Rhinolophus ferrumequinum: one gene and its partner. The protein of the gene in region 2 purifies or fractionates together with the protein of the main gene of each other region. This does not show direct contact. Links are inferred from orthologs where the notes say so. Each region holds a gene or a part of one and is shown on either strand. Other genes may lie near its edges. The genes, in order: COL5A1 and MMP2.

The links.
Region 1: the proteins of MMP2 (region 2) and COL5A1 purify together in Homo sapiens (co-immunoprecipitation; 3 studies listed by BioGRID and IntAct, counting the BioPlex papers as one, with this or other methods). This does not show direct contact. The link is inferred for Rhinolophus ferrumequinum from reciprocal best matches to the Homo sapiens genes MMP2 and COL5A1.

Annotation. Positions count from the first base shown.
Region 1 is NC_046295.1:81,642,978-81,658,068, reverse strand, and holds the start of COL5A1 (collagen alpha-1(V) chain), read right to left. Parts: upstream 8,116-15,091; 5' UTR 7,710-8,115; coding exon 7,589-7,709; intron 1-7,588. UniProt on the Homo sapiens protein: Type V collagen is a member of group I collagen (fibrillar forming collagen). It is a minor connective tissue component of nearly ubiquitous distribution. Type V collagen binds to DNA, heparan sulfate, thrombospondin, heparin, and insulin.
Region 2 is NC_046298.1:8,769,614-8,785,663, reverse strand, and holds the start of MMP2 (72 kDa type IV collagenase), read right to left. Parts: upstream 7,129-16,050; 5' UTR 6,794-7,128; coding exon 6,638-6,793; intron 4,040-6,637; coding exon 3,813-4,039; intron 2,883-3,812; coding exon 2,734-2,882; intron 1,859-2,733; coding exon 1,730-1,858; intron 1,518-1,729; coding exon 1,344-1,517; intron 1-1,343.

The DNA of each region.
Region 1 (15,091 bases), on a different chromosome or scaffold from region 2:
GGGAGGTGGTAAGAGGGGAAGGCATGCACCTCTTTTTGAAGCACAGGCCACTGGCTGCCCTGGGATGCCCCCACTGCAAACAAAAGCTGAAGCCATTCTCGCCTGGCTGAGACAGCATCTTGCATCAGTATGTATGACAGTAAAGACCTATACCAAAATGGGGGTGTGCTTTTCCACTGGGATGTGGAAAGCAACTGTCTTTCCTTCGTGCCAGCTGGGCTCACAGAGCCTCCATTACACATCTGCAGGATGGGACCAACGCCACCTGGTCCAAGGCTAGTGTGAGGATCACGGGTGTTCCACAGATAAATACCCCAGAGCCAGTCTGGCTAAATATGCACAGGAGCCAGAAAAAGGACACACACGGGAAAGTGTCATCCACCAAGGGATAGTCCCTTCAAACTCACCTGGGGGGACCCCAAAAGCCACAGGCCCTAGCAAAGCAGGCTGATCTCACTTGGCCAGTGCCGCATTGGTGCTGGCAAGTACCTCCCTCTGATTGACCAGCGCCCCTTTGGTGGGAGGTGCCTACCTCTGATTGGCCAATGGTTTCCTCTGATTGGCCAGTGACGTGCCCTCCTGCTGGTGAATGTTTCCCTACCTCCCACTTTGCACTTCTCTGGATACAATCACCTGTTCAGGGGTCTGATTTGCTCAGTGCACTGGAAGCACAGGACAGTTCCCCTATTGCTCACCTGTGTACCTGCTGTCTCATGCCTGGCACAGGTCTGATTTGAGGTGGAGGTCCACAAACGCTTCAAACATAGCCTCTGTCATTTCCGGGTTCCCACAAGAGGGCCAGCATTTCCTGAGTTCCCTCTGGAACCCTCTACAGGAAAGAAACTCCTGGAAGCTGGGCTCACATACAGTGCCTCTCGCGGTAACCCGCTGGCCGAAGGGGAAACAATCGCTCCCACCTTTCATTGAGGTTAAAACTCTTTTTCATTGTGAGATCATTATTTTTCCAATGCAAGGATCAGAGATTTTACAACTAAATCATGCTCATTTAAATCAGCTAAATCATACACACATTTTGATGTTATTTTGTGGCACTTATTTAAAAAAATAAAGATGTCATTAGAATCCCTTTTCCCAAGGTGCTGGCAGGAAAGAACAGGACAGAAGAGTAAATTTCACCAAAAGAACACAGGTTTAGAAAGCAAAGTAGAGGAACCCCCCTCCCCCATTTCATGCACAGAGACATGGCGGCTGCCCCTGGAGCTCTGTGTAATGAAATCTGGAGACAAGTGGGTCAGACTGCGGTTCCATTTCTTAGGTCTGAGTCACCAGAGTGGCAACATTTACTCTGAGTGTGGGGTTGTTACTTAGGTTGGGAATCTGCCAGAAAAAACTACCCGATGAGTCAAAGCTGATGAAATGACAGCTCAGATCACGTGATGTATATCACACAAAAGGACCCCATCACCCCCACCACACATCCGCATGCACCCCACTGCGTGTTCATTCACTCTATAAACCTCTCGCCAGCCACCTGTGGCTGGGCTGGCGCAGAAGCGGCCTGTGGGCTGGCAGAGGCCCCCCTGTGCCGACCCCGCAACACCGCCTGGCAGCGCATCAGCCATCACCCTCGTCGTGTCCCAGAGACAGAAGACTAGAGTCCCCGAGGTGGGAGGTAGGCAGGTCCCCTCCCATATCTGTACCCCAAATCCTCCTTGTAAAGTGGGGTGGCCCGACGAGGACAGGGTGGGACAAGGGGAACATGGCGCGCCCACGACCGCCCAAGGACACGCGTCCACGCCTGAGCTCAGAACCACAGAAGTCACCACGAGTGACCCAATAAACTCACCAGGGGACACTGTGTCACCTCTTTTCATGCTTACCCTGTGAGGTAGGCACTAGAACAGGGGTGTCCAAGCGTTTTTCAACGTTTTTTACCAAGGCAAGGGCCCTATGTGGTAAAACACACAAACAGCCGGGCCACTCGCTCGAGGTAAAGTACGTGTTGCCTCACCTGGTTTGTTTAAGTACACTAAATATATTTTTGGAATTTGCTGCGGGCCCATTAAAAATGGATTGCGGGCTGCAGTTGGCCCGCGGGCCGCAGTTTGGACACCCCTGCACTAGAGGGATAGTTTGCGAGAGACAGGGAGCCACTCACATGGCTAGCCAGTGAGCAGAGAGCCAGGAACTCGGTGCCTGACCCCAGGCCCCTGCCTTGTGCTGCTTGGGGTCCAGGAAGGACAAAACAGTGACAAATGGGGTTTGCTCTGTGCTTCGTACATGTTATGCAATGAACCCTCAAAAAATCCTGCAGGAGTCACAATCATCACCCATTTTTATAGGTAGGGAAACCAAGGCATGGGAAGTCACATGCACAGCTGGCAGGAGTGCAGCCAGGATGTGAATCAGGCCGCCTGGCCCTCACCAACACCGCACGCCCTCGCCCTGGTCTTCATGTTGTGCCCATGAGAAGAGCCAAAGCTGGCCCCACCTTCAGGATCTCGGGATCTCCAGCTGGACCAGAAATCTTTGAACTTAACATGTGGCAAAGTGCTGACATCAGCTGATTGGATTACATGAGAGAATATAAATAGCGGGGAAAGCAGAAGCTATAATGTAACGTCGCCCTCCTGCGAGTAAAAAAAGACTTGTCCAATTACCGGATCCAGCTGGCCCTGCTTGCCCTGTGGTGGGACCCACGGCCTCCTGGCCCAGCAGCCTCCGTGGCCACAGTTCATCTCCACATTGCCCATTTGGCAGTGGGAGGGCATGTAAGGGGAGAAATGTCGCCTTGCCGCCAGGCCCTGCATGCAGGAGCACCTCGGGGGACCGTGTAAACACGTGTGCCCAAGCATGCTTATACACGCATGTACACTCACAAACACACACCTGGACACATCACACATGCACACACTCTGACACACACATACAAACACACACATGCGTGTACAAGCTCAAATGGACCTGTAAAGCATTTCTGCAAGTATTGCCTTGTGTGATCTGTACAAGGACCCCCATGGGGAAGTGGACCCACCAAGCAGACCAAAGACGATCAGCTCGTCCAAGGCTGATTCAGCTCATGGATGGCGGAGCCCTTGGGGTCACACTGGGGACAGAAGCCTCCGTGGACAGACACACCTCCCCCTACTATGCTTCCTCTGGAATACTTGCATGGAGAGGAGACTGTGGCAACGCTATGCTTTCTCCTTTCAGAAAATGCCACCAAACATAGCAGTCAGGAGCTCAATACACACCGGACGCTCCACACGCTCCTCCATGCAACGCCTCCATCTTCACAACCACCCCTCAAAGTGAACAACGCAATCTGCCCCATTTTCCAGAGGGGAAAACTGAGGCCCAGTGACTGACCCCAGCCCAGCCAACCTGAGCATCTCTCAGACGAAAAGAAACTCAGTTTGCCCTGATTTCTCAACTGCCCACACTGCCCCCGGGTTCAACAATCTGATTGCCGAGGACTGTCTCCTCCCACACCCAATGGCCTGTCACCCAGCACCGGTGCCCGCACACCCCCAGACAAGGCTGCAGCATCTGTCAGTCTGTCTGCAGAACTGCCTGGCCTCGTGCAGAGAGGAGAAAGGGTTAAGGGCCCCCCAGCTCTCCCTCTCACTCCCCCTCGGATGCTCCCTCTTTCTCAGCTGGCACAGCACTCCGGGGACAGGCCTGCTGCTGGGGGCACCCCGCCAACCAAGTTAATAAGGGGCTTTCCAGCCAAGGGAAGCAGCCCAGCCCAGGTGAACACCGCAGCAGGGTCTGGAACGTCCTGCCAGGAAGGAGGGAGGACCAGGCTAGAACCAGAGGTGGATGAGGGCAGCTGCTGCGGAGACACTCAGTGCATTTCTGGGAAGAAAGCACAGGGAAGGAGAGGAGGGGAAAGGCCTCCTCCAGGAAGAGTCCCCAGACCTCCCCAATGGAGTCAACCCTCTCAGACTGTTTGAAAGGACACTCGGCCTGAAAATGAACAGTGAAATGAACAGTGTCCACGTGTGTGCCTCCCATCAGACTACAAGCTCCTGCAGTGGAGACTGCCACCTTCACCTCTGTCCTTCTGTAACCCTCCAGACCAGGGCAGAAAGGCAAAAAGCCTTCAGGGGCCAGCAGGTCATAGGCTGAGAGAAGGGCCTGGTTAAGGACAAGGAATGGTGAAGACTGCAGGCAACTGGTCACCTTTGATGGCTTTCCATTTAAAAAAGGAGGGAGGGAGGGAAGGAGGAAGGCAGGTGAGAGAGAGAGAAGGAGAGGGAGCGAAGGAAAGAGAGAGGAGAGTAAGGAGGGGGGGAAGGAAGGGAAGAGGGACAGAGAGGAGTAGGGGAGAGAGAAAGGAAGGAAGGAAAACAGGGAAGGAGGCAGGGAGCAAAGGAGGAAACTGAAACACTGTGCTGGCCAAATGGAACACCTCCCTCATCCGGGGGCCACCTTTGGGCTAGGCCCCCAGGCCTGGACTGCAGCTCAGGGCGCTGGGCCTCTCCCAGGCGAAAGCTGATGATAAACAGACATAGAACTCCAAGAAGTCAAAGGCGCCGAGGCGTGGCCGTGCCACAGAGGAGGACAGAGCAGCTCACTCAGGGCCCAGGCACAGAAGTCAGACAGACCCAGAATCTGGGGTCCCTGCTCCCCACTTCCTGGGCCTCTCAGAGCATCAATCAGTCCCTCCCTTACTGTTCAGGCCTGTGTGAGGGTCCAGTGAGATAATGTGGACACAGGGCATAGCACAGGCCAGGTAAGTGCCAGCAAATCCCTTACAATCCTTACCGTGTGACGGTCTCACAGGGAGGCGGGAACCCTGCTCTGCCCTTCTGTGCAAACCCAGGGACCCAGTGTGGGTGCAGCAACAGGGCCTCAGGGGTCCGGGTGACTCATCCTTGACCCTCCAGGACCTCCAAGCTAGTCGGCCTGCACTGTCACTGTTATTAAGTGGGGGTTAGGGGGCCAGCGGGTGTCTGTTCCCCACACCCCTCTGCTCCACCCAACAGTGTCTGTGACCCAGGCAGGGACAATGGGAGACTGGGCCAGACAGCTTGAAGGCAGGGGCAGGGCAGGCTGGCATCAGCTGTGCTCAGCTAAGGTGTGGCTGTGGTGAGAATCCAGAAATATCTGAAGGGTGGGGTAACGGGGCAGGCTCTGGCCAGCACCCCAGGAACAGCTCAGGAGCAACATCGCCCGAGAAGGGACTTTGTGCCTTGGCAAGGGGAAGAATCTGCTGTCCACGGCTACTGCTGGGTGGTCACAGCTGCTGGGCAGTGACCACAGCTCCAGCCCCTCCAGCCACTGAAATCTGGAGCCGATGAGGCAGAGCTCTGGGAATCAGTTTGGCTTCTGAACTCCTCCCACTGACTGTTCTTTTATGGGGGGGAAGAGGGAGCAGGATGGAAAGGATGTCTTTCCAGCCAACTTGATTGAGTCAGAGGCAATTTAACCATTTGATCTCGGTCAAGTCCCACCAAACTTGGACGACTCTTCCCACAAATGATTGCAAAAAGCAATCACATGACCGGGGCCAACCAATGACATGCAGAGGAGATGACCTCAATTTCCAAATATCGGGGTCATGTTTCATTTCACATACTCTCCTTTGCCCGTTACAATGTTAAACGGCCCCAAATGCAATCTTACTTTTCAATCCTTCACACACTTGGCCATGAAGAAGGTAGGAAAAAGAGCCATGTTCAGAGAAACTCGGAAAACATCTGGTACACCCCAAAATGGAGAGAAGGAAAGGCGCTGGCTGATGACCTCTCCCGCCTCCCTGCATCTCAAGTGCACAGCCAGGCACTGGAGGATGACTCCAAAATGGTCCCACCCTAGGCAGTGGGTGGAGAGAGGTCTGTGGAACCCACCAGAGAAGTGGCTTCTTCACATGCTTCTAACGTCTCTTTGACGAAAGCAAAATGTCCAGCTCCACCAGGAGCTGGGTCCACCTCCAGGCTTCGACTCCCACAGGCCGCCCTCAAGTAGGAAGGGAAATCAGAGCAAAAGCAGGGGACAGGGGCGGGAGGCAGAGACGGGGAGCAAACACATGCTCTGCACGCTGCCCAGCCAGAGCCCAGCCCCAGCTTTTGGGGTGGTGACCCCATTGAAGGGTTCCCTCTCGAGTTTCTGGGAGAAAGCCCGTCAGAGGAGCTGGGACAGAACTAAGTCCCTGGGTGACCATGGGGTCCCATGCCACATCCCCCACCCCGCTGCACACCACTTTCCAGTGAGGCCTCTAGTGTCCCCCACCTTCACCTGAGCCGGGGAGAAACACAGAGCCAGCCAGCCCAGGCTTGAGGGCACGATGGTGGCCACCCAGGGGGAAGACCCCAGTCCCAGTCCCCAAGCCACACAGGCTCCCCTCCCCTCCCCCAGCCCCTGAGGTGCAGGACACCCAGATTCCTGCTCACCCTCCTTGGCCCAACAAGCACTCATTGTGCCAGGAAGAAGGGAAAGACTATCTTAATTGATTGGCCAGTGAAATATGGAAAGTGATTCTTCCCACATGTCTTCAAATTAGGAAGTGGAAGAGAGAAGCGGGGGGCAGTGAAGTGGTGCCTTCTCACAGGACGGCAGCTGTCCACTGAGCCCACTGCCTGTCACTTCCTCTGACTTTGCACCAGCAGCTCTGAGCCTGGTCTCCCCACCTGGTAATGGGGACTCAGGGGACTTTCCGGGCCTTGGGCTCCATTGTCTGAGGGTGTGTGAAGACCCCTCCCACAGGTAACCACCAAAGGTGATGCTTAGAAAGCCACTGTCCCATCAGAAAGCTGGCTCAGAGCTGCCACCAATCCAGGCAGGCATTCGGTCAGTGCCAGCTCCCACCGGAGAGGGCTCCTTCTAAAGGCAGACCTCTAGCAGGAGTCCCACATCTGTACATCGCGTCTAAACCTCTCACAGTTTTAACACCATCTCCTGCTTTGCTCCAGGAACCCATCTCTGGGCAGCAAACGCAGGAAAAACTGCCTCCCAGGAAGTCAGGGGGTTTGGGGTGGGATTAGGAGCAAGGCTGCTGGACCATCCTCCAGGGCTCCCCCGTACTACTTGCACTTAGGTGGCTGCAAGAAGCCCTGTTCCCTGGGGAGGTGAAGAGCCAGCCCAGTCTAGAGGCAGAGGGAGAGTGCGCTCGGGGGCAAACGCAGGGCCGGGGGCTCAAGCTTCTGGGATTCCCCCCAGTACCCCTCCTCCCCCCGCCTCCAGTCCCTGCCCGATTTGATGGGCTGTGGCTCTAGGGGGCGACCCTTCCCGGTTTTCAGGAGAGGAAGTTCTGCCGCAGGGCTGTGCCGGCTGGGCCAGAGCTGAGATGTAAGAGAACGCAAAGTTTCAGGACAAAAGTTTGCCGGCCTCGAGGACAGCCCTCTGGCTGATCCCACACTCAGCGCTTCCCGGGTTCCCGCGACAGCCCCACCCGGTCGGCACGTTTGGCGCGCGGGGCATTGTGCTGGCGAGTCTCCCTCTCCAGGGCCCCCAACTAATGGCATTCGGAGTCTCGGCCCGTGCATTCCAGAGCCAAGGGGAAACGCCGTGCAGGCGCGGGAGAGGCCGGCAGCCGGCGCCGAGGTGACAGCCGCGCCCGGCCCGCGTCCCGTCCCGCAGCCCCGCCAGCGCCCCGCGCGCCCCCGCGCTCGAGCGCCCTTACCTGCGCGGCTCGGAGGCGGTGCCCACAGCAGCAGCAGCAGCACCAACAGCAGCGGCGGGGACAGCAGCGGGGCGCCCTGGCGGAGCGGGCTACGCGCTTTCCAGCGGGTGTGGACATCCATGCCGGCTGGGCACGGGTCGGGGCGCGCAGGGACGCTCGGGGGCGCGGGCTCGGCCCGGGCAGCGGACTCAGCGGGGCCGGCACGACCTCAGGAAGTCATGGGGAGCAGGCGCCGGCCCGTTCTCTTTGTGGCAGCGGCTCTCCGGGACGGGTCTGCGGGTGCGCTCGCCCACGGGCAGGAGGGCTCGACCTTGGCCCGCGGGGCGGCCGGGACCCCGCTCGGCTCGCTCGCTCTCGCCTCCTCCAACTCCTCCAACTCCTGCTCGCCTCCCCTGGCCGCCGCCGCCCCGCGACCCGCTCCCCGTGGGCGCTCTGCTCGAGTGAGGTCCTGCACCAACCGCCGGGACGAGGAGTGCGGACCTCGCCTTGGGCGCCGAGCACTTTTTTCCCAGGTTCCTCCCTCCCTCTCTCCTGGAAGGCACCCGCGGAGGCTGTCGATCCCAAACGCCTGCAGCAAATCAGAGCCCGGCGCTGGGCTCGGCCAGGCCGGCCCCCGCCTCCCACTGGGCGCCGGGGGCGAGGGGGTGGGGACAGTGGGCGAGTCGCTGCGAGGAAGGGGCTGGCCCGGGGCGGGAGCAGACGTGGGGCGGGCGCGGCGCCCCTAATGTCTCGGCGGGCGCGCGCTGAGGGGCGAGGGGGCGGCCTCGGAGCCTAGGAGCCCACCCGGGGCCCTACTTTTCCCGCCCCAGGTGCCCGCACCTGGCCGAGACCCAGGAGCCAGTGTGGAGGGGCCCGGAGTTTGATGCCTTCGGGCTAAAAGGAAAAAGTTGCAGCTCACCCCGCCTAACTTTTCTTTTACGTGGAGGAGTTCAGAGCCCCTCTTCTGGGTGGAGACTGAACTTCCAATCCCGCCAGATCGCGGCGCCCAAGACTGCAGCCCTGACGGAGGACCCGCCCTTGCCTTCCCCCTAAATGCAGATTGGGCGTCCTGGTCAAATTAGGGTCTAACTTCCCAAGGAGTCCCCAAAGGAGCTTGCGTGTTGCACATCAGGCAAAGTTGGGCCAGGCACCCCGTTCTCCCCTCCTTACTTCAGCCTACTCCCTGGAAGTCCCTTTGGGAGCTGACAGCAGGCAAGGGAATAAGGGTTGTGTGATCCCTGGGGCCTGCTACTGGGGCCTGCCTTTCTGCCTTCACGTCTTTGACTTGTCTGAGGCCTGGTGAGGTCCCCCTCCAGCCCAGGCCAGCCAGGCTCCTCGCAGTATGTGGGAGCCCCTCCTGTCAGGCTCTTGAGGCCCAAACAGCCTCTTGGCACAGCCTGTTGAACTCCCAGTTCAGCGCCCTTCTGGGAGAGCTGCAGCGCTGGGTTTTAAAAAGCAGAGGCATGAAGGTGAATTAAGAGGGCTTTTCAAACCGTAAGCCATCCCTTCTCCTTTGAACAAACAATCCAGCCAGTAATGCTGAAACAGGGCTGGGATCCCCACCTCCCTGTCTCCAGTTACACCCCTACACTGGGCATGAAATTCCTCAAATGCCCCTTAATTCCCCTCACTCTGGAAACAGGCCGGGAGGGGAGTGGAGGGGGGGTCAGAGGTTCGGTTTGCGGGGGGGCCCCTGGAGTTGGGTCCCTGGTGCTAACTGTTAGGTCGGGCTCCATCTTTGCCTCGTGTACTCACTAGGTATCGTATTGCCCAGACCAGAACGAGAGGAGGGTCTGCACACAGACGTGAGGAGCTTGAGATACGCTAAGTAAAGCAAAATGTTCTTTCAGTTTCCATGTTTCTTTGTGATTGGATTTTGTTCTCACAATGCGTATAAGTCATATATGTGATCAGGGGAAATGTGTGTGTTTGAGTTGTGTGCATGTGTAAGTGTTTGTGTGAGGTGTGCGTGTGTCGGGGGGGTTCCAGTTAGAGCTGCTGGTTCTTCACTCTCCTGTGTGGCTTCATGACAGAGAAGTCCCACCTGACACTCCCTGAGCCCGCCCCCAGCAGCCTCGCCTGACCCCCAGAATGCCCCCCACCAGTGGGAAGGCCAGCTTCTCTCCTGAAGACTTGGGGGTACTGACAGAAGTCAGTGGCCTGGCTATCAGAAGATAGCACAGACTTTCGGGGTTCCTGCTTTTCCCCAAGGACACGTGGATCCCCTCTGACAGTCACCTGTGCCTCTGTGCCAATCAGCCAGCCCTCCCAACATCTGGAACTCAGAATGGGTGTCTGAGCTTTGGCCTGGGTTAGCACAGCTGGTCCCTCAGGAGCTGGAAATCAGGTGACCACCCAGGGGCCCCCAAAGAACTGACCTCTCAGTAAGAAGACTTAACTTCTCACGGCTGTGAGCAGATAGGACATTTACCTTTTACCCTCTCTTGGGGAGAAAGGGATCAGGTGGGCTGATAGACATGTGTTTCTACTTCATCCAAGCCTGGAGAGAGAGGCAAGTTTCTATCCCACCAGAAAACTCCGAGAAAAGCCCCCAAACTGGGCAGCCCGACTGCAGGAGATGACTGGAATTCTGGGGGCAGCAGTGCGTATCAGCCATGTGTCAGGGCTCCGCTGTGTTGAGCCCTTGTCTCCACTTTAAACCCACACTTAATCAGGTTACACACAACACTGGGGAATGATCGCATTTGTCCCCTTTACCGATGAGGGATCAGAGAGGGTAAGGAGCTCACCCAAAGTATCAGCTCACCTGTGGTCGAGCCAGGATCGGAACTCTGGTTTGCCTCTGGGTGGGAAAGATGCTGACCGCCTTGCCCAGTGGTGACGGTGGAGGCTGAACCCAAAGGCAGCGTCACTGCCCCCTCCACCCCCTTGCAAATGATTAAAACAGCGGGTCCTTTGAAAACTGTTTATTCTGTTCTCGGCTCTAGGGGGTGTGCAGTGAGCATGACACCTGGCCCCTTGCAGAAGGGCCGCAATGATGCTGACACCTGTGTGAGGTGTGGCTGCTTATTTGCAGGTGTGCTTTCCTCATCTTCTGTAATTAACGCCAGGGTCCAGTCCAGCCCACCCACATATATACACGTCACTCCTCCAGGGAGGGGACCCCCTGTGGTCCAGGGCGCTGTACACCCCTGGCCTACTACAAGCGCCACCGCCCATTGCTGTACGTTTCCCCGGGACCAGGTGAGGCCGAGCTTTGCACCTGCGATCTCACTGCCCAGCTTCCCTTTCCATTGTTGCAAGTCTTCTCCCTTATTTTTAGGCAGCAGAGTTGTGGCTCTCGACAGACCACCCATGACAAATACCAAGTGCTGCCCTCTTGGGTTTATGTTTCTTTGCCCACCCTCCCATCTTAAGGGGCCACCCAGCTCCCAGAGTCACTGTGGGGCTGGAAATGGCCAGCCCTTCCCAGGGGTGCTCTCCCTCCAAGGCTGCGGGTTCCTTCCCTCCAACCCCCTCACAGGTGGGAGCTCACAGCCAGCAGAGAAGGCGGAGAACTAAGGTGTCTGCTTGCCCTCCAAAAGCTCATGGGCCACTGGGGCCCCAAGGAGGCCCTGAGAGTGTGGGGTGGGACAATGTCCAGAGGGAGGGACCTGTGACGGCATCTTGCCCTGGCTGCTCATCCAGCCTGGCCAATAACCTCGCTTCTTTGGCACATGGAGCTGAGTGTGTGGTCTGTGGCCGCGTTCACACTGCGTGGGCACAGGTGAGGGGCAGGACACAGGCTGAGATATAGCTGTCTCCCACTCCTAGCTCCCTCACTGCCCATAGCCACGTGCTTCCCTTCTGGGAAGGAGGTACCCCAGGCCTGCGTCTCGAGCGCCCAGTCTAGCCGCCCAGGGTGTGCAGAGGAATGGACAGTCTTTGTGACCGCTGTTCACACATCCCTGAGGGTGGGAGCCGGGCCTAAACGCTGTGTGGTCACGTGGGGTCGTGTTCGTGTCTCCGTCCACCTCCAGCAGGGCGGCCCCTGGGCCTGATCTCGGCATCTGGGGCCCGGCCCACTGTCTGTGCTAGATGAAGGTTCAGTTAGTGACGGGGAGCTCATGGGGCTATGCTGGAAAGACCGGGCACGACACAGGAAGTCAGGGCCATGTGCTCTGGTCCTGGGCGTCACACTTAACTCCAGGGCCCCATGAGTCCATCTGAAATTCTTGACCCATGGAGCCCCCCACCTACGTCGACACCTCCAGAACTCCATGACATGAAGGCTCTTCCACCCCCAGTCTCCCCAACGCCGAACCCAGCAAAGGAGCTGCTTGTCCCCCCAGAGCTCACAGCCAGGACAGGGAGGTACCAGGCCCATCAGCCCTGCACAAGACCAGTCGAGAGTGGGCTGGCGGCGTCATTCCGACCAAGCACACACATGTACCAGGCGGCTGCAGTCCTTATCATGGCTGCAGAGCGTCCCCGGAATTCAGGAAGCAGGGCTCTCGAGGGCCAAGGGGCCACCCCCCTGGGGTGCAGGGACAAGGCAGCATAAATCACAGAGCCGGTGACCAGCCACCGTGACGGGTAAGGCAGCCCGACCATCCCTCGTGTGCCTGGCCGTCTCCCTGGTCCGCGAACAGGTTTGTTTCTGTGTCAGCCCACAAAGGCTGCTTTCCTGAACCTCAGTGTTCCCACCAGGGGCCCAATAAACTTGCCAAGTAATGGGATTTCCAGACAAAGTGGCCCATGACGGACACCAATCTGACTGTAGGGGAACTTTGCAATTATTCAGCGCCGTGGGGTCACACGTCTCCCAGCCTGGGGCGAGCTGGGCACTTACCGCCAGGAGAATGTTTGACAGACAAAGTTGAGTTTGCAGCTCAGGAAAAACGTCAGTTGGAAAAATCCTTGTTGTAAGGAACCACCTGTGTAGGTGGAGAGAGCTGCCCAGAGGTCAGCAGGCTGCTCCCCGGATTCAAATAGCAGTTTTAGGGTGTATGTGCTGGCACCCAACATCAGGATCTCGTTGGATCCTCCCCACCGGCTGGCATGTGACTCCCACTTAGGGTGGAACGTCCACAGAACCCAGAGCAAAGGGCCTTCTGACCCCAGCTTCTCACCTGGAAAATGGGGCCAGGAGAGCCTTCCTTCATAGGTTATGTGCGTATTATTTGCAAAGGCTCGTGGGCTGTTCCAGGCGTAGAGCATGTGCTCAGGAAATGCTCCATCCATCTCGTTCCCTCTGCTTCACCAAACCTCAGAGGGTTAGCCAGTAGGTGGAGGTGTTGTGGGCACCCAGGCCCCATCTGAGCAGTGGTTTCCACAGGCCACCGCACTCCCTGCCCCTCTCAGGTCTGTGAGCGCAGATGGAGGTGATGTGGCAGAAATACTGTGTAAACTGCAGAAGAATGTCTCATAAAGGTGACAGGGCCCTGATCCCATCTGCAGTGAATGCTGCCGGGCCTCCTGGACCCCCTTCGGGACCTGGACTCTCAGGTGCCCCTGCAGAAGTGTTGGCTACTGATGGCCATAGCTGAGTTCCTCGGCCCCTCCCTGTCCAGGGGAAGCCACTCCAATGCATGGACACGCCCGCCCATTCTCCGAAACAGCCATGCTTAAGTTTTAAAAAGCTCCAGTCTGTGGCCGTGCCAACTTCATCTGGGGCCTTGTGTTGGTGTCCTGGGGCTGCTGAAACAGCTGGATGACTAAAACCATAGAAATTGATTCTCTCTCAGTTCTGGAGGCCAGAAGTCTGAAATCCAGGTGTCACCAGGGTTATGCTCCCACCAGGGGCCCTGAGCGACGACGGTCCTTCCTGCCTCTGCCGGCTCCTGGGGCCCCAGGTGGTCCTGAGCTGTGGCCACATCACTCCAGCCTCTGCTGTCTCCACCTGGCCCCCTCCTCTGTGTGTCTGCTTTAATCTCCCTCTGCCTTTCTCTTATAAGGAAACTTGCGATGGCATTTAGGGCATACCTGGGTAATCCAAAATGATCTCTTCATCTCAAGATCCTTCACTTAATTACACCCGCAAAGACCCTTTTGCCAAATGGGTCCCATGCACAGGGGGCCACCATTTACCCACCATAGTCCTGGACACAACAAAACAGACCTCTGTGCCTGGAGTCTCCCCGTGCTCCCCACATCTGCTGCCGAGGAGACACCAGAGCCTGCCGTGGTTTGGAGCAAGGGGTCAGTGGTATCTCGTGTGCGACCCCGTGCACATGCAGAAACCCTGAGGTGTTCTCCGTGTCCTAAGAGCTGGTCCCAGCGGCAGGGCTCAGGCTGACACAAGGACAGGGAGCTCGATGGGGACCTGCGTGTGACGGCACACTGCCCGGGCATGCTGACACTGTCTGGGATTGCTGTTTTTCCCAGTAAGGCCCGGTTTTATTTGTTTTCATTTCTGGTATTAAACCAATATTTTTAATGGAAATAGCTCCCAGATTAGATTTTCTTCCATAAGAGGAAATAAAAGGGAATATTGAATTGAAAATGAGTCTTCCTAACTGAAGTCCAACCCAGAAATCGAATTCATTCACTCCTCCGAATCTTTGAGCACAGTCCAGGAGTCGGGCTGTTGAGAATGCACGTGACTTGGGGTAGCAGGAGGAGGGCAGGGAAGGAGGGGCAGGAAGCTGCCTAACACCCGTGACCTTCTTTATTCACTCACGCCACAACACAACACCCCCAATTTGCAGGTGAGAATCCAGACTCAGTGCATTTAAGAATGGGCGCCAGGGCTGTGGAACCCCGAAGGGGAGGAGGCAGGATCCCTTCAGAACCAGGATCCATGGATACACGCTCTCCCTGTGCCACCTACCAGCTGGCAAAGGTGCTGGTGGGATCTGCGTTGACACTCAGAGCCTGATGGGCAGGGTGGGGGCACCGGGAAGGAGTGGGTGCAGAGCTAATGTCAGGGGACCCCAGGTAGGTCTGGCTGTGGGAGGCTGACAGTGGCTCCCAAAGGCAGGTCTGGGCTCTAATCCCAGAACCCGTAAATGTGACCTTATTTGGGAAAAGGGTCTGCACAGATGTGCTTAAGTTACGGGCCTGGAGATAAGGAGACCATTGTGGTTTAGCTGGGCCCTGAATGCCATCCCTTAGAAGAGGAAGACATAGGGAGATTCAAAAATAAACAGAAAGAAGCTGATACGAAGACCCAGGCAGAGATTGGAGAGACACATCCACAAGCCGTGAAATTCTGAGCCCCCAGGAGCTGGGAGAGGAAGGAAAGACCCTCCCCTAGAGCCTCCTGAGGGAGCACGGCCCCACCCACACCTTGATCTCGAACTTTGGAGCTCAGAACTGGGACAGAACAAGTTCTGGTTGTTTTAAGGCCCCTGTCTGTGGTCCTTTGCCAGGGCGGCCCCAGGACACAAATACACTGCACAAGGTAGGTTCCCACTTCCCTATCTAAAGACCCAAAATTCAAAGGTGTGAGGGACCAGCTGAAATTCCACCGGAGTCAGGGGTTGCATGGTGCCCTCCTGCCTGGGTACCTGGCACCATATGTCCACGGCTCATCAGTGACATCTCAAGCTTGCCAACCTGCCTGCACTCAGAAAACACTGG
Region 2 (16,050 bases):
AGACACTGACTCAGCAGTCAGGAGGGGCTGAACCACCAGAACCTCTGCCCCAAGACCCAAACACGTGCACGCTGTGCGTACTTGCATCTGGCTAAGACCAAGTACGTGGCTGGTGTCCAATGCAGGGAAAAACCCTTCCCAAACTAATGAATTACAGCTGTTTCCACTTCTATCATCAAGGCATTCGGTTCTAATCACAGGGGTTGACACATGGGAGGGTTAATGCTGCTTGAATCCCTGTTGGAAATTCAAGATACCTAAAATATTTCTATTTAAAATTACTGACGTATTAATAGTCAACGGCTTGAATTCATACTTAATACAAAGTTTCCTGGGGCTGGTGGTCAGTGTTCAGTTGCGACGGAGTCAGAGAGATTCACAAACATGTAAAATATATAGATCAACGAGTCTTCATAGGATAGAGGAGAAAGGAGTATTTAGAAAAACGTTTGGATTTTCTCCCATTTTTCTCTAATGTTCTGGGCTTTCAATCTCCAGCATCATCAACTATGACAGCTTGACCAAGTATAAAGTTATACATACTATCGTTTTATGATTTCTGATTATAAAGTGTGTCAAGGATATTTTTAAAAAGAATTGAGTGTGTATGTCAATACCCCTACATCTTTAAAAATGTTTTTCCTTCTATGTGGTTTCAAAATATTTGAAAATTTTATGCTTTGAGCATTGACAAACACACACACACAAATATTGAGTCAAGTCTAATGCCTTTACCAAGATAGAGAGATGCAGACACAAGCAAAGACAGACAGCAACGGAAAGAGGCAGATGAACTGTCCCCTTGCATGCACGCGCACGCACACACACACACACACACACACACTCCACTGGAATTGTCATCAGAACCAGGGGTAATGGCTGAAATTCCAGGGGTTGGTATCCCCAAGCCAGGTTGGGTACCAACCAGCCTTGGTGTCTGAGTCTCACGCCTGATCCTACTGCTAGACTTCTGACCTATCCCAAGCCTGTACTCATGCTTTTGAGCCCCCAATCCTGGCTGGAGGGGAGAGTGTGGGTGTACAGAAAACCATTAAGCATTTTAATAGTTCTAAGTTCATTCTAATGTATGTCAGAAAAAAATATTTAGCATATCAAACCTGTGATTTCACAAATCTTACTGTTCCTGGTGACACTTAAAACAGTATTGATTTAGTGACAACATTAAATAAATAATTGTACAGGTGAGAGGGACAGTGGGATTTGAAGAAAGTTGGGGAGATGCTGGTTGACTGGCAGTGCCAGACCTGGGGCGTGTAGATGGCGGGGGACAGCAGGGAGCCCGGGAAGGCGAGAGTCTGAGGTGGGAAGCCAGGTGGACTCACATTCATGGGGGCAGAAGCCGTATTTGCCATCCTTGTCGAAGTTGTAGGTGGTGGAACACCAGAGGAAGCCGTCACTGCGGCCCGTGTCGGTGCAGCTGGTGTACTCCTTGCCATTGAAGAGGAAGGGGAACTTGCAGAACTCCCCATCAGCATTCCCGTACTTCACACGGACCACTGAGGGGTGACACAGGATGGGGGTGAGTCTCTGCAGGCCTTTCCTGGGAGACCCGAATTCTGCGCGACTCCTCTCGCCTTCCCATCTCTCTGGTCCCACCAGAGCAGATGGAGGTGCCTGAGATTGCTAAGGAAGGCACAGTCCTTTTACTAGGCTACAGGGAGCCATGCAGAGGACCAGAGAGGAGGCCTGTGGGTGGTCACTCGCTTACCTTGCCCTTCTCCCAGGGTCCACATCTCATCATCATCGAAGTGGGAGTCTCCTCCAACACCGGGGCCCGGGGCGAAGGCGTGAGCCAGGAGTCCATCCTTGCCATCAAAGGGGTATCCGTCTCCATGCTCTGCAACACACTGGGTCTCAGCTACTAGCTGCCCAAGCTGGGCCCTGAAACCCAGCCACACCCCATCCACAGTTGGAGCGCTTTAGCCCACCTGGCATCTGTCCCCTTCCCTGTCCTGTTATCCAGAAGCGGGGACACAGCAAGTCAGTAGAGAGTTGCTGATTTGATGGTTACCATCCTAAGGTCTACACTGTGCTGGCAAGTCCACCGCGAATATCCGTACCACCAACCCCCAAGCCCACTGTGCCACCCAGGTCCATACCACCCCCCACACGTCTACACTCTTTTCTGTGCTGTGCTATTTACCCACATCACTATACTACTCACAATGTCTACATTACCTACCCTCGTGCCTCCACTACAGCCAGTGTTCACACCCCCAACCCCAGGTTCTATTCCACTCACTCATGTCTACACTGCTCCGCTGTTTCAGATCCACTCTCACACCTAGAGTCCCTCAGTGTCTCCCAGTGTCACCCAACTGCACTTTCTGCGACGACGGGAATGTTCTTTGTGCTGTTTCAGTCCATCACAACTGGCCCATAGGGCTCCTGAGCACTGGCAATGTGGCTAGTGTGACCGAGAAACTGAATTCTACATTTCATTTGATTGTAACTCACTTAAATGTAAATAGCCCTAGGTGTCTAGGGGCTACCATGCTGGACATGCAGGAAGACTGCTTCTTTCAGGGTTACACGGCCTCCAGGGAAGGCCCAGTGTCATGTCATCTGCCCTCACATCCACATGGACCATCTAAGCCGCTCCAGTGTCTACACCTACTCTCCTCGTTCAGCTGCCCTCGGGACCCTGTGCCTCTCTAATGGCCAGATCACCCCCTCTCCTTACTGAACCCCTGCTGGCCCCAGCTCTCCTACCCCAGCGGCCGAAGTTAATCATTATGTCAGCCTCTCCATCGTGGATACGAGAAAACCGTAGGGGGGTCACATCACTCCAGACTTGAAAGGCACGAGCAAAGGCATCATCCACCGTCTCAGAGTCAAGGTCAGGCGTGTAGCCAATGATCCTGGAGGTAGGAGAAATGCATATGAGTGTGTACGTGTGTGCAAAGGAACATGTGTATACACATGCATGCAAGCATACATGCATGTGTGCAAGTGTGTGTATATGCAACTGTGTGAGTGCATGAATGTGTGCAAGGGTGGGTGTATGTGCACAGGTGTGTGGGTGTGTGCACAAGCAAGAGGGGTGCATGCGTTGGAGTGTGCACAAGTGTGTGCCTGTGAGTGTCCATGCTTGTGCAGGTATACGGCGTGTGCTGAGCAGAGCTCACGGGGAGGACAGCCTGCCCAGAACGGCTTGAGGTTCCGTGCAGTCCTAGATGAGCCAACACCTTCAGGCCCTGTCTCAGGACTCCCATCCCTTACTTCTGGCTGCGGGGACACACAGGGACATGAATAGTGCATATGGGACACAGGGCAGAGACCTCATCCTTGGAATCCAGCATGAGCTGTACAGAACAGAGCTCTCAGCTCAATCAACAGCCAATTATAGCCACTCTATACTGTAACATAAAACCAATTAGCAACCAATCATCCAGCTCCCTCCACCGACACCAACGACCCCATCTAGTAACAATGGTGGCTAGCAGGTATTACACTGTTACTAGATGCTGGACACTGTGAAAGCCCTTTAGAAATGTGACCTAGCTTCGTTCCCAACCAACCTATGAGGAAGGTTTTGTTTCCCATCTTGTAGATTGGAAAGCCAAGGCTCAAGGCACTGAAAAATAAGTAGCCCAATGCCCCACACCTAGTAAGTATGAGATTCTAGTTCAGGTCTGTCTGACTCCGGTTCCTAAGAACTTTGTATGCAAACTTCTTAAGATGCTAAGTCCTCCTGAGTCACCTCCTGGCTGCCCGGAGTGGGGAGAGGCCCAAGGAAACCCCGTGTCCCGTAGCCCAGAGGCCCTGCTGCCCCAGCCCTGCCTCGGCACCTGTACGTGATCTGGTTCTTGTCCCACTTGGGCTTGCGGGGGAAGAAGTTGTAGTTGGCCACGTCGGGGTTCCCGCAGCGTGGCTTCCGCATGGTCTCGATGGTTCGCTGGTCAAGGGCACCTGTCTGAGGTAGTCCAAAGAACTTCTGCATCTTCTTCAGTGTGTCCTTCAGCACAAACAGGTTGCACCTCTCCTTGGGGCAGCCATAGAAGGTATTCAGGTATTGCTGGAAGAAATGAGCAACAGAGGCAAGCAGCCACATTAGGATGGCATAGTACTGACCAAAGCCCTACAATAACTAGTCCCCCGTCCAGCCCCATAGCTCAGAGAGGACATAATCCAGGGGCCCCAGGGCACTAGGTGGAGTCCTGGGTTCCCAAACCAGCTCTGACACCCACTAGCTGAGAGACTTAACAGCCACAGAGAGCATGGCTACCATGCACTGGGTGCTTACTATATGCCTAGGCACTGAAGCTAGCACGTAACTGTAATGCTCACAGTAACTCTATAATGTACTTATTATTACTCTCCCCATCATACAGAGGAAGAAACTAAAGTACAGAGAGGTTAAGAAACTAGCCTAAGATCACACAGCTCACAAATGGCAGAGCTGGATTTGGACCCCAGCAATCTGGCTCCAGCGCCATGATCAGAACTGTAACGCTCCACCACCCTTCTTTACCTCCATCACCTCTTTTAATCCACCTAACTGCTGATGACATAAGGATTATTTTTCTCACTTTTCTTATAGAGAGATTCAGGGGCTATGTGCATGGGCTCCAGCCGCAGAGACCTGGGTTCATATCCTGGAATGATCATTTTCAAAAAGAAAATAGTCCTGTCCTTCAGGGGCTGTGCAGTGGCTCTGCCAAAACCAAGGCCAAAACCAAACAGGCCCGTACAAAGAGTCAGGAACCAAGCAGCTCATTTATTTGTTCAACAAATACTTTTTGGTATGTCCCATGTTCTAGGCCTGTTGCTAGTGTTGGGATAAACTGGTGAACACAACAGATGTTTCTAGTCTGTAGGGCTCAAACCCCAATGGGAGAAGGCTGATGGACCAGAAATAAATGCAAAATTAAATATGTGCTGGGTACTGCATTAGAAAGGTGAAAGGAGTCAGGAGACCCTTTTACAGGGGCCATAACCTTGTTTGGGGGGATAGTTAGAAAAGGGAAGATACAGGGTATAAGAATAATAATAATAACAATAATGACTAATACTGATGGAGGGCTTACCATGTGCTACTTCAAAGTGTCCAAGAGGTATCATTATCATCCTCCCTTTGCACAAGAAGCTGAGACTGAGAGGTGGTCATTTGCCCACACTTACTAGGCCAGTTGGTGAGTGCACTCCGGCGTTTGAAGCCCACTTCTCAAACCTCCCACTGCATGGCCTATAGGCGACATAGACTTGCACACGCTGTGGAAGGTGTGGGGGCCCAGGTAGCTTTGTCAATGCTCCAAAATTCTACCCTCACCCCCAACCAAGAGCCACATCACAATGCCAGCCAGCTCCAGACCTGTGAGAAAAGTAGCCCCCTAAAAATGTAAAGTCTCCCAACCCATTTATGCAGAAGGGACAGAGGCTTAGATGCAGGAAAAGGGGGGGTCACATCCTGAGAAGGGGTGCCCAGGGTGACCTGGGGCATAAAAGTGCTGTCTTGGGCAGGTTGGGGATCAGGCTGATGGAGCATAGGGGATTTCTAGGGAGTTAAAGCAATAAGGGGCAGATGTCTTGTGGGCTAGAAGGAACATTTTGAGGGGTCTCCTGCTTGAGGCACTGACAGGGTGAGGGGTAGTGCCCTTCCGCTGCCCCCCGAATCCCGCTGAGGCCTGGGTGCGCCTGGAGCCAGGCGTGCTCCCTCTCAGAACAACATCTGAGCCGCAGCTCGGAGCCCCGCCAGGAGGGAGGGCTGGCTGGCCACTCTCCCACCCGCGGGTTCCACCGCCCCCGCCCCACGCGCCAGGCCTCCTGCGCCTGCCCCTCTCTCCATCCCCGCCCCGCTGGCCACCTCTCTCCTGCCCTCCAACCTCTTTGCAGAAGTTCGAGGAAACTTTCTGAGGTCCAACCCTTGACTCTCCAGGCCAACTTGTCCACTGAGCCAGGCAAAAAAGATGCGCTCTCCTTTTCCTTCCTGCCCTGAATATTTGCCCAAAGGTTCCCTCACGCAGGTCTGTCCAAGGCCCCTGTCCAGATGTGTGCCAAAGGTTACCAGATGTTTGCCAAGTCCTGCTTGGCCTGGAACTCGAACTTAACGTGTGCAAGAGTTTATCCAAATTGTGCGTCAAAGAATCCCCTTCCCAAAGTGCTGCAGGGGGTTAAAAAGATCCTCCACCGTTTACAAAAGGGACCCCTTTAGGCCTTTTGCCAAAGGCCTACCAAGAGGCTAGCCAAGGGCCTGGTTAGCCAACCCTACAGATGTGTCCAAAAGTTGTTTACAAAGCCAGCCCCCTTGCCAAATCCCCCAGATACTATACAACGTCCCCGTTATTTACAAAAGGGGCCTTTTCCAGCTGTTTGCCAAAGCACCTCCTTCCCTTCCCTGAGTGTTTCTCTCCTCCCTGCTGTGTCCTGAAAGTTGCCAAGTGGTTTATCAAAGACCTTCTCCACTTACCAAAGATCCCCTATGGTTTCCAAAACAGATCCCTCCTCCAGCAGGCCGACTTTACCCCCACCCCCACCCCCACCGAGCTGTTTACTGAAGCCCCTCCCCCATGTTGTCTGTCCCCAGAGGTAGGGAGGAGGTATGGCTGGGAGACCCCCACCCTCCGCCTCCTAGTTTTTATAAACTTGGCTCGCTGAGGCCCGCGGAGCAACTCACCACAGCCAACTCTTTGTCCGTTTTGGGGGCGACATCTCCGGGGAACTTGATGATGGGAGATGGCCGGGTGGCGGCCCGGCCCAACAGGCAGCCCAGGACGCAAAGCGCCCGTAGGGGGCCGGCAAGCGCGCCCCGGGCCACTCGCGCATCGGTCATTGCTCTCCCGGGCCCACACGTCGCCCAGGGGTCACTGGCTCGGCGCGTGTGGCTGAGTCGCCTCCTGGCTGGCGCTTGCTCCGCCGCGCAGCGCTGCGCTCCAAGGGACCACTAGACTCGGCGGCCTCTGCTTTGCCCGCTCAGCCGCGCATGGTCCGGCCCCCGCTCCCCGGCCCGTGCCACCACCGCCTGTGCTTGCCGGTCCCGGAGTCCCTTTGTATGTTTAAAGCCCCAGATGCGCAGCCTCCAGCCGCTGCCGGAGGAAGTCTGGATGCAGCGGAAACAAGGGAGGGCAGCCGCCAGATGTGGCCGGCTGGGCTGGGAGGGCGCTGGCAATGTAGGGAGGTGGGGGGGGGCGGGGGGCGCTCAGGCCCGCCTCTCTCCGCACCACTCCCCCACTCGCCCTCCTCTTTTATCCTCCTTGCCTTTCTCCGCCTCTTTTCCCTGCCGCCTGCTGCTCCAGGCCTCTGCGTGCAGCAGCAGGGCGCGACCTTTTTACCCCTACACACCAATCCGGGCACAAAGCCTAAGAGACCCCCTGCGGGGAAACATCTGCCACGACCACTGTAGACTCACGATATTGGAGAACGGCGGTTCTTGGAAGGACGCCCGGGGGGCAAGAATGTCAGCACTTCCAGGGACACGGGTCAGAGATGGAAAGGAAGGGTCAGAAGCAGACGTCAGCTACGTGATGGAGAAAGATTGTAGATGTTTAGAGATGAAGATAGAGAGAGATGGACAAAATGGAAAGCGACAGATGGAAACAGATAAACTGGAGTGTCCCACTCTCCTTCCTCCCTTCTTTCCTTCCTCCCTTCCTGCCTTTCTTCTTTGCCTCTTTTCTTTCTTCCTTCTGCAAATATTTAAGCATTTACTGGGCCTCAGGCATAATGCTAGGTGCTGTTAGGTTGGTGCACAAGTCTTTGCAGTTATTGCAATTATTTTTAACCTTTTAAACCGCAATGACTTTTGCACCAACCTAATAGATATACACTTGGAAACACAGAAGTCCTGCTACCTGTCTCTCAGGAATGTCCCCTCCCTCTCTCAGGAAGAATAATTAAGTGCTAAGCTGTGATGGGGGATCTCCAGCAGGTCCTGGCAACACCTTACCTCAGCCTCTAAACTAGTATAGATGGTCAGGGAAGGCTTCCTGGAAGAAGTGACTTCTGAGCTGAGACCTGAAGAGCTACAAAACAAAGGTTTGGGTTGGGAGCGGTGAAAGGGATGTTTCAGGCACAGTCTGGGGCAACACATACAAAGGTCCAGAGATGAAACACAGCAGGATGCACTGGAGAAGGGAGTTCCCTTTATCTGAGAAAGGTAGGGGGCAGGGTGATGAGATGGGCCTGGCAGTCAGCAGGGTCCAATTTGAGGAAGAAAATCATGGGTTGAAAGGGTCAGCAACAATCTGCCTGTGAGGGCTTTGGGGGTCGTGGTGATGAACCTGGCCTTTATCTTAATATCAGTAAAAGCCGTCTGCAGCTTGGATCTCAGTGGGCTTAAAACAAAATACAGGCTTGCCTGGCAGGCATGTTCTCCTGTCCTACAAGAGGTCAGAGTGAAAGGAGCCACTTGGGAGGGACTTTGTCCTGCAAGAGGGAGGCTGGCCTATCAGCCTGATCTAGGGAGAAGCCTTGGCTGTTTTGGGGAGGGTGAGTCTGAGGTCAGTGGGGAGGGGGTTGCCTCCTGTCTGGGCCCCACTTGGCCCAAGTCCATGGCCTGTGGAGAGTCAGAGAGCCAAGTTGGAGAGGCCAGAGCTGGGAGTGAAAATGGAAAAAGTTGTCTCACTAAAGCAGGGCTTGCAAACTCGTGGCCTGTGGGCTGAATCCAGTCGGAACAGCATTTTGAAACTTGGGAAACTTGATGTCAAAATCTGACTTTTTGCTATCCTTTTAAAAATTCCCAAAGCTCTGGCAATCCGGTTTCCACCTGGCAACAATTAGCTGAAGCTAAATAGTTGCTATTCCTTTTAGATGAGGCATGCATTTTGGTTTGCCACAGTCCCCACCATTCTCTATTGCCTTGCATGTGACTCACTCAGCTTAGTTTTGCTCATTGACATCACTTGCCCCTGTGGATGAAAAAGGGGCCACGCACTAAACTTGACAAGCTCAGCGGAGGCTTGCACGGCGGGCCCGACAAACTCAGAGACCAAAGTAACCACATAGGATGATCAACATAAAAATTTCTAACTGAAAGCAAGTCATGGCAGGTAGTCAGATCCTAGGCCTGTAGCTTCCTTGACAAAGGTCAGTCTTTGCCATAAGTGAGCCTGTCTGTTGGTCTTTTTGCCTGTAAGATAACATACTTTTGAAATGTCAGCATAATCTCTGCCAGACCCCTCACGGCACAACTGCATGCACCATCTAGAGACCACAGCACCCCTCATCATCATCTTATTCCCCGAATACCATCTCTACATGCCCCAAATGTTAATTATTAACTATCCTGCATCCACTGATGTAAGAGAAGTGTGTGTCTCTCTCCGTTTCACTTTTTATCCAATCCCAGCGATTTCGCTGCTTTGCTTTCTCCCGCCTTGTTAATCTACCACTAACGGATTTCACATAACCCTCCTTATGTCCTCTCCCTTGATTCTAATGTGTAAAAGAAGCTGCAAAACTGCCATTCTCTGGAGCATTTTCTCAGTCTGTTGAGATTTTGCTTCCCAGCAATTGTCATCAGTTTGGCTCAAATAAACTCTTATAAAACTTTTTTTTAGGCTGGGTGTTCTTTCATTGACATTTACTTGGTGCAGCTGGCAGGATTCCAAAGAAGCCCACCCAGGACTACCCTGTGGACCCTGACCCGGTGCTCGGTACCAGCAGGGGCCCACTGTGCCCTATGGGCTCCCCACTTTGCCTTAGGTGACCTTGGGTGAGTTTTTCTTGGAATTCTGAACCTCCCTATTTTAAGGTAGTTTTTTTAAGGCCCTGACTTTGAGCTGATCTTAGGGGGGAATAAATCCTCAAGGTGGCACTAAAGGTTAAGGGTTGAAATAACCCAGGCTAAGGACAAGGGTTGAGATAACTCAGGGACCAGAGAAAAAGAAATGGGTGGCTGTTTCTTTTCTTTTTCTTTTTTTTTAAGATTTTATTGGGGAAGGGTAACAGGACTTTATCGGGGAACAGTGTGTATTTTTCCAGGATTTTTTCCAAGTTGTTGTTCTTTCAGTTTTAGTTGTGGAGGGTGCAGCTCAGCTCCAGGTCCAGTTGCCGTTGCTAGTTGTAGGGGGTGCAGCCCACCATCCCTTGAGGGAGTCGAACCAGCAACCTTGTGGTTGAGAGCCCACTAGCCCATGTGGGAATCAAACCTGCAGCCTTCGGAGTTAGGAGCACGAAGCTCCAACTGCCTGAGCCACCGGGTGGCTGGTTTTTAATTTCGGCTTTCCAACGGAAATTACTTACTGTGAGTCTGAACAAAACCTTTTGCTGGATAAATGAGAGTCTGAACTTGTTCGGCTCCAAAGATAAGGGGCACTTACTCCCTTCAGCTCAAATTTCGGGTACGAGGTGACTAAGAAACTATGTGGAGGTGTTTGAGGGTAGTCCTCAAAATGAGCAGGGCCCCATAGGAAATTCCAACACCCCTGCAATTAAACAATTGGCTGCCCTGGGACACGCATATAAAAGCTTGTTACCTAGCGCGCTCTGGGTCCTCACAGTTTTATTAGATAGTATGGAAAGAAGCTGAGACACATAGGAAGTTTGGAGTGACTCGGGAGGTGACAGCACCTTGGAGCTCATAAGCAGTCCACTTCAGCCCACTACCCAAGAGCCCTAGAAATGTGTTCAGGCTTTGCAGATCTCAGAAGAAAACTAAAATGAACTTGGGAAATTTTGCCTCCCAGGACAACAAGCCCCCAGCCTCCAGCCCCATTAATATTCTTGTAGATGTACAATTCATAAAGAAACTCTACTTGCAAGTACTTACAGAAAAAAGATTTAACTAGAAGTGATATCAACTTAAGATGACCGAAATGGAGTTATTTTTACACCTAAATTCTTATTCTTATTATTTTTTTGCATGCACCATAGGAGAAAAAAGCCATCTCTAAAATCAAAAAGAATGAATGGGAGGCTTACCTCAATTGGCAAATAGAAGCCTCTGAAACAGAGCACAGAGATACTATCTCCAAGAAGTTAATAAGGAAATTTTAGAGACTGTCTCTTAAGTAAGGAAAGTTTCTGACACTGCTCAGTGCCAACAGCCCCACTTTTCTCTCTTCTCCAACTGCTCCGCTGTAGCTCTTTACTTCGTTGTCTGGACTTTCTTTTCCCCTCCCCCTTCTCTCTCTCTCCTCCACCTCTTTCACCAGAGCTCTCTATTGACCTAGGGGACACTCAGACTAGAAAACCAGACCACGGTAGACTAGGGGAAAAAAACAAAATCCAACAGAAATTCTGGCAGCTCCCTTTGGAGAAACGCCAGGCAAAGGAAAACCAGTGATTGTACACATTCCTTGACTAGAACAGAATTAAGGACTCTACCTTAAAATTTCCCTCACTCTCTGGGACCATATGAGTTTGCAAAGGAATTTGATTTAACTGTTAGAACATATGATCCTGGCTATTCTGACCTTTTCCAGTTAATATACCTACTGGTTTCTGAGAGGAAAGCAACAGATTGGGTAAATAAGGTTCACTGGGAAGCCCCTATAGAGGACTTGTTAAAACAGAGACAGACCAAGAAAAATGCAGAGAATTAGCCCTGTGGCTTTACCAAGCCATATCTGAGATGTTTTGCCCCAGAAAATGGACAGGACTAAGATCCAGCAATGTAAAAGAGAGCCTGATGAAACAGGGCTTGATTTCCTTGAACTTTACAAAGAAACGTTCAAACAATACACAGGTCTGTCTCCAGACAGTTTAAGGATCATCAAAATGATCCCTTAATATAATAAATTCGGCCTTTTTGGAAGGACAAGATGAAGAGCTGGAACTCTGATTAAACAGCATAAATTAAACTGGCTGACCACGTGTACTAATGAATTGGTAATTCTGGCTGATCAACTATCTAAAACAATTCAAAAGGTACAAAAATACAAAGCTGCCAAAATCATGAACTTACAGCTCCAGCAATTAAGCAATCAGGTCAGACCTCCCCGGAGGTCTCTTAGATAAGGGGAGAGAGGAATCTGTTCTTATCTTAAAAAGTCAGGTTGCCTTAAGAAGGACTGCAGAAAACTGAAATGGGATCTAGAAGAAGAAAAGAAACAGAAGCAAGCATTGGGCTGCTCCAAGGACTATGAGAGGGCATTTCCCCTTCTCCTTACAAATACTTTTGAAATTACCATAAAAAGAGAATGTAGGTAAAGAGAACTGTAGGTACGGAGCTACTTTATCTATTCTTAACACTACCCAACTGAGTTGTCCTAGCCCTTGGACTAAGCGTCTTTACAAATGGTAGGGACATCTGATCAACCAATGTCTGTTTTTAAATCAGAACCTGTTCCCTTCCAACTTGGGAATGTTATGTGTAACATACATATATTTTTTACTAGTCAAATCTGTCCCAATTCACCTGATATGGTGAGACTTTCTTGAAACCGATGACACCCACATATCCTTTTCCCAAAAGGATGAAAAGTATTTAGAACTAAATGAATCAGATACTGAACCAACTGAGAAAATAATGACTTTAAAGGAAACTGCACAAGAGAAAACTAGTCTTGAGACTGACTGAACGTTTGTTACAGGACGTTCCAATGCAATTCTGGGCCTTTTCCGGTACAGATATTGGCAAGACTAAGCCACTCCTATTAAAATAACTATTGACAGTACTTTGCCTCTATCTAATATTCACCAATATCCTTTAAGACCTAATGAACTGGCTGGAATTAAGCCCATTCTACAAGATACATAAAAAGGGGGCTTATAACTCCATGCATGGGCCCCTGTAATTCTCCTAACCTTCCAGTAAAGAAACCCAATGGGAAAGGATGGAGATTTGCACAGGACATCAGAGCTATAAATAAAGATATCCTGTGGTTCCAAATCCACATACCCTATTATTAGCTATTCCTGTGGATTGCCAATATTTTTCAGTGATGGATTTACCTTTTTCGGCATTCCTGTCAAAAAAAAAAAAAAAAAAAGACCTCTTTGCTTTCACCTGGGAAGATCGGGGCTTTACTTGGACAGTAATGTCCCAGGGGTGTACAGAGAGTCCCACCTATTTCTCTCAAATACTAAATGCTGACTTGAATGATACTGAATTTCCCAGAAATTCCACTCTAATCCAGTATGTGGATGATTTACTTTATGTTCTGGGATATAGTAGATTCCCAGGAGGATACAATCTATCTACCTATTACAAGAGCTACTAGCTATAAAGGGACATAGGGCCTCAAAGGACAAGCTTTGACTCTGTTTATCCCAAGTAAAATACCTTGGTCATCTAACATCTAAAGATGAGCTCCTAATGAACCATGAAAGGCTCAGAGGAATAATTTCCTTTCCTTTTCTAAAAGAAACAAAAGCAGCTTAGTGGGTTCCTGGGTCTGACTGGTTACTGTCACAGTTGGATGTTAAATGTTTCGGCAATCGCCCATCCTCTATAAGTCTTATTAAAATCAGTTCAACCTGATCCAATTCAATGGAACCCAGAAGAGAAACAAGCTATAAAGCTCCGAAGGAAAAATTTTCTAAAGCTCCTGCTCTGAGACACTTTACTGATAAACTTTCTTCCTTTTTTACATGAAAGTAAAGGAACAGCTTTTGGAGTTTTAGCTCAAAAACATAGAGTTCATCTTAGATTTATAGGATATTATAGTCAACAATTAGACTCAGTAGCCAAAGGGACTCCTCCCTGCATGACCGCCATCTGTGCTACAGCCACGTTATGCAAACAAACAGAAGAAACAGTTATCAGCTCTCCTTTATGTATGTTCCTCTTTCTGTTAAATCCCCACTGACCTTTCTTTCATCACACTCAACCCTTCTGTCAGTCAACTGGCTTCTTATGAAGCACTCTTGCTGTCTGTGCCTAATACTACCTTAACTTGATGTAACAGTCTTAACCTAGCGACTTTGCTACCTTCTTTGCAGGATGAAGACATCCACGATTGCATTTTGCTTACTGACCACCTTTCTTGCGCCTAGAATGATTTACCGAAAATGCCTATCAGTAATGCTGACATAATCTGGTTTACAGATGATCTGAAAGATGAACAGGGACATTACTGAGCTGGATATGCAATAAGATCCATGGTGGACATCACTGAAGGTTTTTATTTATCTGAATAAGATCTGCACAACAAGCTAAATTAATTCCTCTAACTTGAGCTTGTCAGTGGCCCAAGATCAAATAGCTAATGTGTACACTGATGGTCCCGGTGGTGAAACTCACAACTTTGGAATGTTGTGGAAGCAGCGAGCCTTCTTAACTTTCTCAGGGCAGCCCATGAAGAATGGAAAACAGGTTGCAAAATTATTAGATGCATGCAGCAACTGAGACAATTGGCAATTATCAAAATTCCAGGACATTCTAACGTTGCCACTGTGGAAGCAAAAGGAAATACTTTAGCTGATGGTACAGCTAGACAAGCGGCAATAAGCAGCCAAATTATCCAGACCCAAGAATGCTCCTTGTGTTCTATTAAATCAATAAGAGACTCTCTTTTAGGGTTCCAACAGACAGCTACAGAAGAAGAAAGGGGATACGGCAACAAAGAGGGGGAGCCTTTGACCCAGACAAACAGATGTAGCTTGGCCCCAATCAGAAAGCAATCTTACTTATAGGGACTTAATACCCTTACACTTCAACATGTGCAGGAGCTCACACATGGGGGGTCTTGAAAAGATGATTTCATGGAGTAAAGAATATTATTGGAAACCTTCTCCTACTGTAGCTCAAAGTGTATAGCAGATGTTCTATCTGTCCAAAATATAACCCTGGAAAATCACTCCAAGGGTCCCAAGGACATTTCCCATTTCCTTTAGGTCCATTCGAGGTATGGTAATTGGATTTTATCCAAATGCCACCATCTCAAGGATACAACTGTATATTCAGTATGATTTGTATGTTGTCTCACTGGGTTGAGGCATTCTCTTTCAGGAGGGCCTTAATGGGAGATAAATTATTACTGGGGGAGAAAATTCCAACTGGGGAATTCCTTCTGAGTTACATACCGTGTTTCCCCGAAAATAAGACCTAGCTGGACCATCAGCTCTAATGCATCTTTTGGAGCAAAAATTAATGTAAGACCCGGTCTTATTTTACTATAATATAAGACCAGGTCTTATCTAACATAATATCAGATCGGGTCTTATATTACTTTTTTTGCTCCAAAGGATGCATTAGAGCTGATGGTCCGGCTAGGTCTTATTTTCAGGGAAACAGGGTAGTGACTGAGGGACTCATTTCACTGGGCAAAGGATGCAATCCATCGGTAACATTTGGCCCATTCTACAGCATTTTCATTACGCCTGTCACCCCGGTCCTCTGGATTGGGGGAATGTACACGTGGTACAATTAAAACTCAACTAGGTAACATTTCAGAACCTTCTGATTTCCCTTGGCCAAAAGCTCTCCCGATAGTGCTTCTCCACCTGAGACCTACTCCTTCTGGTAAACATAACCTTTCTCCTCATTAAACAGTCACTGGTCCCTCTATGCCTCTGGATGAAGGGGCATACGAACCAACCTTACTAAAAGGAGACATTCTGCATTATTACGAAGGACTTAACAACCAGCTTAAAGAAATCGATAAATTAGTAACTGATATACTTCACACTGTGTTCCCGGGAGAGGAAGACTTCAAAGACCATGCCTCACAACCAGGAGATTTTTGCCCATTGGAAAAAACATCAGTTAAAGATTCTCTCCAAGCGCGTTGGAAGGAACCTTATCAGGTATTACCAACTAATCCATGTGCAGCTGAACTTAAAGGTGTTAACTCAAAGATTCACATTTCTCACCAAAAGTAAAAGATGCCTAACCACGAACGGACATCTGCCCCTGCCTCTGACGCTCGCCTCTGCCTACAGGACATGAAACAGTCCCCAAGGATGAGAAGCTGCTGTCCTCAGAGCCAGACAGCTATCCCAAGACATGGAGAGGGCCTGCATACCTACAAATTGATGTTGAACCTAAAGAACCATTTGTTTGATTGTCTTTACCTGTCTGCTAATAACGATCAGTCATAATAATAGTTGTTCTCTGGGCTTTTCTCAAAACTTCTTCTTATATAGCTCAACTATTAATCATTGCTGAAGGTATATAAGGTAACTTTTGTAATATATATATATATA